Pelodiscus sinensis: one gene and its partners. The protein of the gene in region 1 binds, or shares a complex with, the protein of each later gene. Links are inferred from orthologs where the notes say so. Each region holds a gene or a part of one and is shown on either strand. Other genes may lie near its edges.

Region 1 (3,749 bases):
ATTCAAAACGGATAGGTTACATGAGAAATTTTGTCTATAGCGTCTCCAAATTATGCATATTTATATTTGTAAGATGATTTTCATTAAATAGTGAAGGGGGGGGGGGGAACAACCACACTTGTTGGCCTCAACATTAGGTCAGAGAAATAGAATTATATGGTTCAGCACGTTCCTATTAGATTGAAAATTAATCAAATAATTATGAAAGACGAAGATGGTTCTTGGAGAGTAATACAGCTGAGATGGCTGAAAAGTGGGATCTCCACTATGGACTATACCAAAGCCTCTTACATTGCTTCTTCCTTCCCTTTTGAAACAATTTGGGTTGTCTCCCCTTCTATTGGTGATCAAATGGCAACATTGGTCATTGGTGGCAACTACCCTGATTACATACATGGAAAAACACTACCAGAAAAACATTCACTATTTTTTGTAACTGTATTAGCTACAAAGGAGGTGCCAGTACCATGTGATCAGCCATCTCTCTGCAGGCAACTAGCAAATGGACCAATGTCTGGAAATCACTTTCTTAATTCACTAAACTAAGCCAGTTTTAATCTTCAGGAAATGACATGGATGTAGAATTTATATCAGGGACATGAAAATGTGTTTATTCAGGTAAATATGTAAGCAGTGAAAAAAATCAGTAATTACATGTTTACAGGTTGAGGAAAGGGGGCAGAGGCAAGCGGGAGCTAGCACTTGCAGAGCCAGCTAACTCCCCCTGAGCACCGGGTCCCACCTGCTTTCCCCCCTGCTGCCTCTTACACAGAGGCAACAGTGAGGGGATGGGGGAATAGGAGGCTCTGCGGGAGCTGGTATGCACGAACACCAGCTCCTGCCTCACCTGCCCTCCGCTATAGCCGCTGATACAGAGGCAACAGTGGGAGAGGGGTGGCCTGCATGTAATTGTGAAGATTAACTGATGAGCCCAGGCTCAACCGTTAACCAGGTATATGTTTACACTTTCACATCCCTAATGTACAGGGTTTAAATCACCTCTACATTCCTTTCTGGTTTTTTCATATTAATCAATGGATGCTGTGCAATCTAAGATCACTGTGGCCAAGTGGAAGAAATCCTTAGAGGTGAGTTGCAATCTCCACATTAAAGAGGGACTGATGAAACTGATATCAAATATTAATCTAATACATAGATTTGGAAATTATTAGGTACAAAGCCACTCTTCCTCACCTAAAGACTGCTTTTTTGTTACAATGGTAATAAGAAAATGTGATGTGTGTTTGGAGGAAGAAAATTATTTTAGAAGAGTTAACATTTGAATTTGTATCAGCCTTTAACCCAAATATTGCTGATTAGGTTTATTTTTTTTTCCTATTTTTTCTCCAAGGCTGGAGTGGTGCTAAAAGCTGACTGCAGGCAGGCAGAAGGCAAGAGAATAGGAATGTAGTGTTAAACTTCTGCATGCAAGGGGATCCAACCATAACTGGGGAGACAGATGGAGAGCACTGTGTGTTACTTATGTGGACCCTACAAAACATATTAGGCCTGTTCCAATTAGCCTACCTATAAGAAGCCTGCCACTTACCTATTGGCTACATCTAGAGTTTTCCGTTAAAAGCATTTGCGGAAAAGAGCGTCTAGATTGGCATGGACGCTTTTCCGCAAAAGCACTTTTTGCGGAAAAGCGTCCATGCCAATCTAGACGCGGTTTTGCAAAAGAAAGCCCCAATCGCCATTTTTGCCATCGGGGCTTTTTTGCACAAAACAGTTTTTAGTTGTCTACACGGGCCCTCTTGCGCAACTACATTTGTGCAAGAGGGCTTTTTCCCGAACAGGAGCAGCATAGTATTTGCGGAAGAACACTGACAATATTACATTAGATTGTCAGTGTTCTTCCGCAAATTCAAGCGGCCAGTGTAGACAGCTGCTTTTGCGGAAAAACTTGCCAGTCTAGACACAGCCTGTGAGTGTGTAATACACACATACCAGTTAAAAGTCAACTCTGTATAAAGTTATGCTAAAAAATGCAATGTATAAACCAGGGGATGAGTTGCAGCTGTGGGAATCAGTTTTATATTCCTCAGTTGTAGGGCTGTAGATGGTCACTGCTATTTAAAACCAATGCAAGTTGCTAATTAATATTGGCCATAGCTTCACTTTCACTTACCTTTCTGAGCAGCCGACACGGGTGCGCCTCCTTTGTGACTTCTTTGCACAGACACTTGTTTGCTGTTATTCCCAGCTCTGAGGGATCCTTCCTGGGTCCAGATATTTTGTTTTGCACCTTGGAAAAGCATACGAGGACGCAACACAGATTCTATGTGGGAAAATTCCTGCCCCCACATAAAACACCGCCAAGTCCTTAGAAACACTTTCCCATGGAGGGCAAGCAACCACTTTCCTGTCGAGCCTTGTAACTTCTCGCTGCATTTAATAACTCGTGTAAACGAAGGAGAAAACATCATGAGGCAAAACAAGTCTTAGTATGTTACCAACAAACAAAGATCTATGTAGATTAGTTGAACTAAACCCTCCCTTGATTATTGCAGGAAAGATCTTAACTTAATGTAATCTGCACCTAAGCAACGCATACATAGTGTGTGCAATGAAGGTGCTGTCCCTTTAGTGAAACAGAATTGGAGCAATCTCTCAATTTGAATTTGCTTTTACCTTGTTGATTTACTTTAATCGAGAAACCTACATTACCCTGTGCTCGCTGACATTTTCAACTTCCTCCATCACGTTTGCAAAGTTCCCTGGAAAAAAAATGCCATGAGGTCCTGGGAATTGTAGTTCACAGAAATTCGCCTCCCATCTATATTTAATAGTAGCTGAAAGGAAAAATGACTACAACTACCACAATGCAAAGCGCCAGCTCCTGCCTGTGAGATTAAATTGCACCGACACAAACCTACAGTAATTTCAATCTCCTGGTTCTAGAACAGATACCACGTAACAAAAGTAGTAAGGGAGGCTGGATGCTTTTGACTTCCTTTAACTCTCAGCGCTTGTGAATGAAAAAGAGCATATGTTTTGGAGTGTTTTCTTCTCTTTTCGTTTTTTGAAGGTTTCCAATTGTCATTTTAGGAAAACATTATGACCTTGCAATAATGCGAACTGCCTATTGTTTTGCAAATATAGTGGTAAAAGAAGCATTTCTTCCTTTTTCAAGGTGAATAAATCCTGCAAAGATTTAGGGACACCTTTAGTCCCATGGTCTTTGCAGGATGAGGTTCTAAAATGGTCGTTTTTCATCATGGAAACGGATGGATGTAAAATCTATTTTAACAGGGCCTGATTCAGCAACTGAGTGAACATAAAAGTAACTCTGCCCCCCTGGTCAAATTCTATGTATTTATTATGTTTTCCTCCCAATAATTCCTTTGTGGTCAGCATGTGCATACAGCTCCTATATAATCATATAAATATTTATTAATTAAACTCAGCTAGTAAATAATTCCATGAAGCCACTACCCAAAAACACCTGTAAAGATTTTACTCAAACTTTCTAGGACAATTCACACTTAAAAGAAATATGTTTGAGGAAGTTGTGAGCACTGAAAAGGCAGAAGCTATAATTACAGTTGGAATTCAATCATAAGAGACTCTACTGCTTTTAGCATGGAAGCTACAATAATGATAATAAGAATAACAGAATTGTACTTTATGACATCTTTAAGAATCTGTGATAGCCCACTATAGACAGAGTAGCAGACATTTATGTCCTAACCCAGCGGTTCCAAATCTTTTTTATACTGAGGACCAGCAAACTCATCCAAAAACTG
Region 2 (3,749 bases), about 91 Mb from region 1:
AAATAGTAAATGAACACTTTGTACTGGTTAGGGATGTGAAAGCTTAACTGGTAATGCTTACCGGGTGCAGGGAGCTGCTCCAGCCCCTCGGGGCTCACCATGGGCAGGGGCTGCTCCAGCTTCCTGGAGAAATCTCTGTTGATGGCACCCCGTTCCCCACTGCAGGTTACACGCTGACTCCCTGGGAGTGGGGCCAGCTGCTTTTCTGTGGCAGAGAAGCCGCCTCCCTGGGAGTGGAACTGGCAGGGACTGGCAATCCTGCTGCCAGGGAGGCTTCGTTGCAGGCTATGCAGTGTAAAGCTTATTTATTAATCTAACAGTGCTTAACATTGCTTGTTCTTTGCATTCATCAGTAATAAAAAACTGCATTTTATCTGTTTTTATTCTGCAGTTACACTGATTGGATGGCAATGAACATACTTTTGAACTTCCCAGGATGCATTTGGGAAATTGTTATGCAGTATGAGGCAACCCTTGGGTTAATCTGTCACGCAATGTTCCTCTCTGAAACTGCCACAACTTATGAACGAGTTACGTACCAAGCACTTGGTCATAACTCGATCTGTTCGTAAGTCGGATTACATTCACTTACGTATGGCCGCGCTGTTCATAAGTGCAGCTTTCGTTCGTAACTCAGATATCGGCTGTATAGGAGGCTGATCGTAAATACAAATGGTCGTAAGTCGATGCATTTGTAACTCAGGGACCGGCTGTATTTTGTTTTCTACAGGTTGGACCTCTCTGGTCTGTCATCCTTGGGATCTGACTGGTCCCGGACCAGGGGTGGTCCCTCCCCTAATGGTCCATGCTAAACTGCTGTTCCCCTTCCCCTGCTGCTTTCCCCATTGCTCCCTGACAAACCCTCACTCCCTGAGCTAGAGCTCTCCAGCTCCCATTCTCCCAGCTTCTGCCAGGGCCGGAGCTGCATGGCTGTGGTGCGAACTTCTTGGCTGCAGTTGGGGCTGGAGCTACATGGCTGGGGCTGGAGCTTCACAGACTACCCCCCCACAAGACTTCTGGGTGAGTCTCTCTCTCCTGCTTCACTTCCCCCCTCCCCCCATGTTACTGGCTCGTGGCCAGACCTCCTTACTCCTGGAATCTGTGGTCCAGGAACATCTGTAGTCCTGCCAGACCACGGATGTTGCTGGATCTGAAAGTCCTGGCTAAGGGAGGTACAACCTGTAGTGTATCGGTTTTCATTTTTTAAAATGAAACTCAGGCTTTGTCTGATTGCTCTGCAGTTTGGATTACTATAAAAGTGTTAATAGCAGCAGGTTGAAATGCTGCCACAGAACTCCCCTGTGTAGACCCTACGAGTGTGAACTGCTTTGCATTAATATGGTTCAGTTTGAAGAGGACTGTGCTAATGTAAACTAGGAACTCTAGTTTTGATCACATGGGGAAGTTACAGCACAACACTTTGATCTACACTGCTATTCACTCCCCACTAGTCCTAATTGGGGGACAGTGTAGGCAAGCATGTAGTTGCTGTTTGTTATGTTGAGAAAAAAACATCAAAATGTTAACTAGGTGCAGCTAGAATAGAGATATCTGTGTCAGTTTGAAAAGAGACTGGAGCAATAGCTGAGAAGTGTGAACTGCCCCATTCATTTCAGTGTGTTTACTCAGATCCTAGTGTGGTACTTAAATGTCAACATAGTTAACTATTTAATTTTGCATGTAAGGAGAGGAATAATCGCATGTCTGTACAATGTTTCCATGAGTCATGTCTCATTTTAGTGCCACAAGAAGTGAGGTGATGGTGGGCTACCAATATCACTACATACTATTTTCACCCATTAAAAAGAAAACCAAGTCCAGCTTGCCCAACAGAGCCCGTGGATGTACGGGAGCCCCTCTGAAGAGGAGAAAAGCTCTAGGAGCCTTTGAAGTAGGAATAAGAGATCCTCCAGAATAGGGCTTTATTCCGGAGGATCGGGCCAGTCTAGATGCTCTTTTCCGGCTTTTCTACAAGCTGGAAAAAAGCGGCGGATATCTTTATTTAAATCCCGCGGGGGATATTTAAATCCCCTGCAGATTTCCCTATTACGAAGTTTAAAATTAGCATGCCCCTTTCGGAAAAGGGGCCAGTGTAGACGTAGCCCTAATGTATGAAGTTACGTACTTAGAATTTTTTCAGGGAAGGCTCTTGCCTTTCTTGATGGCTATGCTGCACTTCAGTATTATGTTCAGTTAAAAAGTCTTTTTAGGGACTCAGTTTCTCATTATACACTTACAAAATTTGAGGGCCAGCTGCACTATTCTACTATGTGAATGGTGTAGAGTCATGACACATTAAAAAGATAGTGGAGGAAAGGAAAGACATTTCAGTGTAAAGGCAGGAAAAGACAAGGAAGCTAAGAGTTAGAAGTTAAAGAGTAGAGAGTCAGGAATAGAACTGGAGAAATAGTTAAAGGATAATTCAAAATGGAAAGGAAAAAGAAGAGTGGTGCAAGAGATAATTCAACAAATAGCCTTTTTAATGGCTTTTCATTTTTATTTCGTTTCTGTTAAGTAGAATAGAGATTCGGCACAGAAAAGAAATTTTAGGAACAGTCCACTTTCAAGATGGAAAATTGGATAACAGCCTTTCTGTGTCTTGTTTATACCCTGGCCAAAGGACAGAGAAGTGTTTGATGGAATGTTCTGGAACTCCTCTGGGAAATAAGATATCAAATAAATAAATTATATAAGTACCTGGACAGAGAGTGAAGTAGTATGCAATGCAGTTTAAAAAGATTCTTCACAGATGAACATACTATAACCCCAGAGTTCTCACCCTTTTACATCTCAGGATCACCTATATAGCAATATGCGAAGAGCAGGAATACACAACTAAGTGTGTTTTGACCATTTAAACTGGTATTTAGAGTCCTGCACAGATACATATATGTGGATCCGCCTCCGCCAGGCTCATTCTGTTATCTGATCCGCAAGCTGGATTTTATCTTCATACACATCTGCAGGGTGGCAGCAGCAAGCTGTCTTTAGAGGGTAGGTGGGAGGAAGCACAAATGAGTGAGGAGGGGACAGGGTCTTGCAGGGAAGAGGGAGGCAGCATGGGAACAAGGACTCTGAGTAAGGAGCAGCATAAGGGCAGGATGAGGGTCTCAGGTAGAGGTGGGAATGGATTTGCATTGTGTGCTTTTGCTGCTGGGGTGGGGGGTGTTCATCAGCAATGGTACCTGGTAGCAGCAGCTTCTGTGAGATCACAGCAGGGCAGAGGGGTACAGAGTTGGGCCGTCGCCCGCCCCAGTCTCCATGGCAGAGGGTGGGCCGTGCTGCCCTGCAATTGGCCGAGCCTAGGGCACTGCACCCGCTTCCCCCCATAGCTCCAGCCCCACAGAGCTGGACCCTCCCCTCTCTGAACAGGGCAGCTTGCTGTTATGCTGAGAGTCTTCCTCCTCTCCCAGAAGTGAGCCACCTCCCCCATGCATGCTCCCAGCTGCACTAGATGACAGTACGGAACAGCAGTGTGGGGCAAGTGGGCCCCTGGTTCGCCACAGGTCACTGTTGATTGGGTGTGGGGGCAAGGCTGGTACTCAGCTTCTTGTGCAGGGAAATTTGGGAACCAGTTGGCACTCTCTCCTTGCTGGCAGCAGGGGGCCTACGCTGGCATCCTGCCTTAGCTGGACAGCCGGGTACAGTTGGAAGAGACCCCTGTGCAAGTATTGGTGCCATTATCTGTGAAAATGGTCCATGGATATCCGCATTTGCGGTTGTGAACCGGCTATCCAGAGCTCTAACTA
Region 3 (3,749 bases), on another chromosome or scaffold:
CCAGGCCTGGGCAAAAGATGATCTGTGGGCGAGAGCCTCAGCCAGTTCCCTGCCTGCCCTGCCCTGCCCCTGCTTGACATTCTGGAAAGCCAGCTGCAGGGCCACCTGGGAGTTTCTGAATGCTGACAGTCTGGAGGGAGGGGAGCCAGGCTTCTCATGCTGCCCCTACCCCAATAGCACCCATTGGCTGGTTTCAGACAATAGCAGCTGCCTGCTTGCAGGACAGGCAGCATGTGAAGTGACCCTCCTCCCTCATCCCCCCATACATCATTCCATTCAGACCAGTAAACATGGCTTCTGCAGCTCCCCTGAGAATATACAGGGGTTGGAAAGCAGGGCCCCTGGCTAAGAAAACTGCTGGGCTGCTGGCTGGGAGCCAGGTAAGGTCTCCCAACCAGAGCCTGTCTCTGGCTCCCCAGCCTCTCTCTCCCTACCCCATGTAACTCAAACCTTCTGTACTCCTGCCAAAGCCCCTATACACCTTCCAGACACTGCATCCCCCTCCTACTACCTCCTCAGGTCACAACCCCCTCTCAGACCTTGCACCCCAATCTGCTGCTCCCAGCACAACTCAAATCCCTGCACCCTGTCTTGCACTACTCCCCTGGTCACAACCACCTCCTAAGCCCAGCACGTTCTCCTCCTACATCCCTCCCCGGGACCAGAATTCTCTCCTGCATCCATACTCAACCCAGACCCTGCACACCATTCCCCTGTCCCAGGTCACAACCCAAATTTCTGCACCCCTACCCCAGGTTATACTCCCCTCCCAAACCCTGCACCTCCACCTCAACCCAGTCCTTTGCCCCAGGTCACAATCCCCTTTTCCCCCAAACTCCCTCACAGGTCTCACACCCCAATCCCTTACCCTACAACCACTTCTGCAACCAACCTCCATACCAGACCCCCGCACCTCCTCCATTAATATAATGGTAGAGTGTGGTCCTTGATCACTTACAAAATTTTTTGGAGTTGCCCCCCCATCAAAAATTATTGTCCTTACCTGGTTTAACTGGTTAACCAATTAAAGGGGCTTGCGTGGGCTGGAGTGCCTCATTCCATGACAGGACCCATGAGGCTGGAGTGGGCCCCTGCCTGCGGTAGGCAGGGAGCTGTTCCAACCCCCAACGGGTAACCCTTAACTGGATGATGCTTAGCCATTAACCTTTCACATTGCTAAATATAAATGTCATCAGAGTTCTGGTATTTCATAACTTTGGATCTTCATTAAATCAAATGGCATATTACCACTTAACAGCCACGGCCAGATTCAAATAACTTGTCTCCTACCAGCAATACCATGTTGATTAATAACACACTGACAGCTGTCAGTCTTTATTGGTCAAATTTTAGAACTAGCTTCATTTAGATCTGGATGCTGCTGATCAATCCCTGACAAGAGGTCCCATTTCTCTCTGGCCTTCTGTCATCTCACAAGCTCAACATCGAGTTTACAAAAATAAAACACAAAACCTTCCAGAAGTGATGGCATTGACTGCAGATGCAAGCAGAGCAACTAGGACGTGTTCAGCACTGGCCTAGGCTCACAGGAAGTCAGAAACATTAACTAAACACTTAGGAAACACACTGTGTGGTCGATAACCCTGCAGTAATAAACACTTAGAATTTAATGAATCCTTCGAAGATTTTGGAACGGATTAGAATGCTGCGCGACTTTTCAGTGACTAGACAGATGGAGAGTCGTTGACAGCCGCCATTGTACACGTTCCCGTTTGCCAGCATCTGACGAACTGGTTTTACCCACAAAAGCTTGTGCCCAAATAAATCAGTTAGTATCTAATGAGCCACAGGGCTCCTGGTTATTTTGACCTTCCCTTTTGTGATGAATGATCCTCTCCCCTCCCCCGTGCATTGTGTTTCAATGGGACATTTTAACCCGCTGGACACAGGCCACGTGTCTTGCACAATGAAACACTCCCCCCTTGAGCCCACTAGGACAAGGGCGGGGGAGTTTTTGGGGGTCGGGGGCCGCTGACCCACAGAAAAGTCAGTCGGGGGAGGAGGGGGACGCACACTCCGTGACGTGGCCCCCGGCTGAGGAGAGACATTCCCCTCACACGCCCGAGGCTGGGCGGGCCCAGGCTGGTCGATGTGACGCGCTCAGGCCGGGGGGGGGGGGGCAAAGGGGCTGGGCCCGTCTCCCCCCAGCCTGCAGCGGGAGCGAAGGGCGGGCAGCCGGGCACAGCCCCCCTGAAACCCCGCCGCAACCCCGCGGCTTCACCTGGCAGCTGAGCCTGGGCGGCAGCCGCAGCAACAACCGGCTCCACCCGGCCATGGCGGTGGTGGGGGGGGGGGGTCCCCTCAGCGAGTTGCCCCGGGGTAGCACGCGCCCGCTTCCTCTTCCGGCTCCCACCGGAAGTGGGAGGGTGTCCGTCCGCCCGCTCTTCTCTATGGTTCCGGTTCCAGGCTCCGGACTTCCGGCTGGCTCCCTGCGTTGCCATGTGCGAGGTGCCCGAGGAGGTTCAGCGCTTCCTGCAGCAGCACCCGGTGCTGCGCCTCGTCGAGCCGGGCAACAAGGCAAGCGGGAGGGGAGGGGCGAGAGGCCCCGGAGGGGGCGGGGGGTCCAAGCCGGAGGAAGTATGAGCCTGGGGGAGGGTTCCCCGCTAGATCCCGCCCGCGGTGCACAGGGAAGGGGTCCGCTGCCTCCTCCCTCCCCTGCTGTGTGTGGGCTCGATGCAAGTCAAGGCGATTTAAGTCAGTGCTTCACCTCCATTTCCCACTGCTGCCACCTCACCCATTTATTCAAACAGGGGTGCGAATCTGATCACTAAACCATGTTAATTGACAGCTCAGGGCAGCATTTTACAACATCCAAGAGGGTTACACCTCGTGTATTTTTTTAATTTTTTTTTTTAGGAAATGGTACATTTGGCTACGTCTAGACTGGCATGATTGTCCGGAAATGCTTTTAAGGGAAAAGTTTTCCGTTAAAAGCATTTTCGGAACCGAGCGTCTAGATTGGCACGGACGCTTTTCCGCAAAAGCACGTTTTGCGGAAAAGCGTCCATGGCCAATCTAGACGCGCTTTTGCGCAAAAAAGCCCCCGATCGCCATTTTTGCGGAAAACAAATCTCAGCTGTCTACATTGGCCCTTTTGCGCAACAGTTTTGCGCAAAAGGGACTTTCGCCCCAACGGGAGCAGCATAGTATTTCTGCAAAAAGCACTGATTTCTTACAGTAGGAAGTCAGTGCTTTTGCGGAAATTCAAGTGGCCAATGTAGACAGCTGGCAAGTTTTTCCGGAAAAGCGGCTGATTTTCCGGGAAAAAACGGCAAGTCTAGACACAGCCATTATGTGTGCCGTGCAGCAGCAGTACTTTAGGAATAGTAAAAACTAAATTACACACACAAACACAATAGTACTTATATTTTATTCAACTAAATCTGAAATGTTCCATGAATGTTTCACATTTGCAATCGCAGCAATCTTCTGAGTTGTTGGCTGTCCTTACACTTTTTTTTAATTTTCAAATTTTATTAACTCAGACAGACAAGTCATCAGAACACTAACTCTACAGTATCCTTAAAACTTCTACAACTAGCTCTCTTCCCCAATACCACTGTCATTTTTATGCAGCTCTGATGCCAAGTTACCAAAAAAGCTAAGATTGGCTGTTTAGAGTGCACTTAATTTTGGAGTATGCCCCATTGAAAACAAGTGTAGGATGGGGTTCCTTTTGGAAAGCTGACTTCTGATGAAGTAAAATGGCACCACCATTATGGTCTGTG

The links.
Region 2: TIMM21 (region 1) and CMC1 share a complex: the UniProt entries of both Homo sapiens proteins name them as parts of the MITRAC (mitochondrial translation regulation assembly intermediate of cytochrome c oxidase complex) complex. The link is inferred for Pelodiscus sinensis from reciprocal best matches to the Homo sapiens genes TIMM21 and CMC1.
Region 3: TIMM21 (region 1) and SURF1 share a complex: the UniProt entries of both Homo sapiens proteins name them as parts of the MITRAC (mitochondrial translation regulation assembly intermediate of cytochrome c oxidase complex) complex. The link is inferred for Pelodiscus sinensis from reciprocal best matches to the Homo sapiens genes TIMM21 and SURF1.

Annotation. Positions count from the first base shown.
Region 1 is NC_134712.1:95,704,287-95,708,035, reverse strand, and holds the start of TIMM21 (mitochondrial import inner membrane translocase subunit Tim21), read right to left. Parts: upstream 2,721-3,749; 5' UTR 2,430-2,720; coding exon 2,132-2,429; intron 1-2,131. UniProt on the Homo sapiens protein: Participates in the translocation of transit peptide-containing proteins across the mitochondrial inner membrane.
Region 2 is NC_134712.1:186,372,323-186,376,071, reverse strand, and holds the start of CMC1 (COX assembly mitochondrial protein homolog), read left to right. Parts: upstream 1-886; 5' UTR 887-926; coding exon 927-1,020; intron 1,021-3,749. UniProt on the Homo sapiens protein: Component of the MITRAC (mitochondrial translation regulation assembly intermediate of cytochrome c oxidase complex) complex, that regulates cytochrome c oxidase assembly.
Region 3 is NC_134732.1:16,715,790-16,719,538, forward strand, and holds the start of SURF1 (surfeit locus protein 1), read right to left. Parts: upstream 2,390-3,749; 5' UTR 2,297-2,389; coding exon 2,243-2,296; intron 1-2,242. Other genes in the region: SURF2 (surfeit locus protein 2), read left to right, coding at 2,461-2,538. UniProt on the Homo sapiens protein: Component of the MITRAC (mitochondrial translation regulation assembly intermediate of cytochrome c oxidase complex) complex, that regulates cytochrome c oxidase assembly.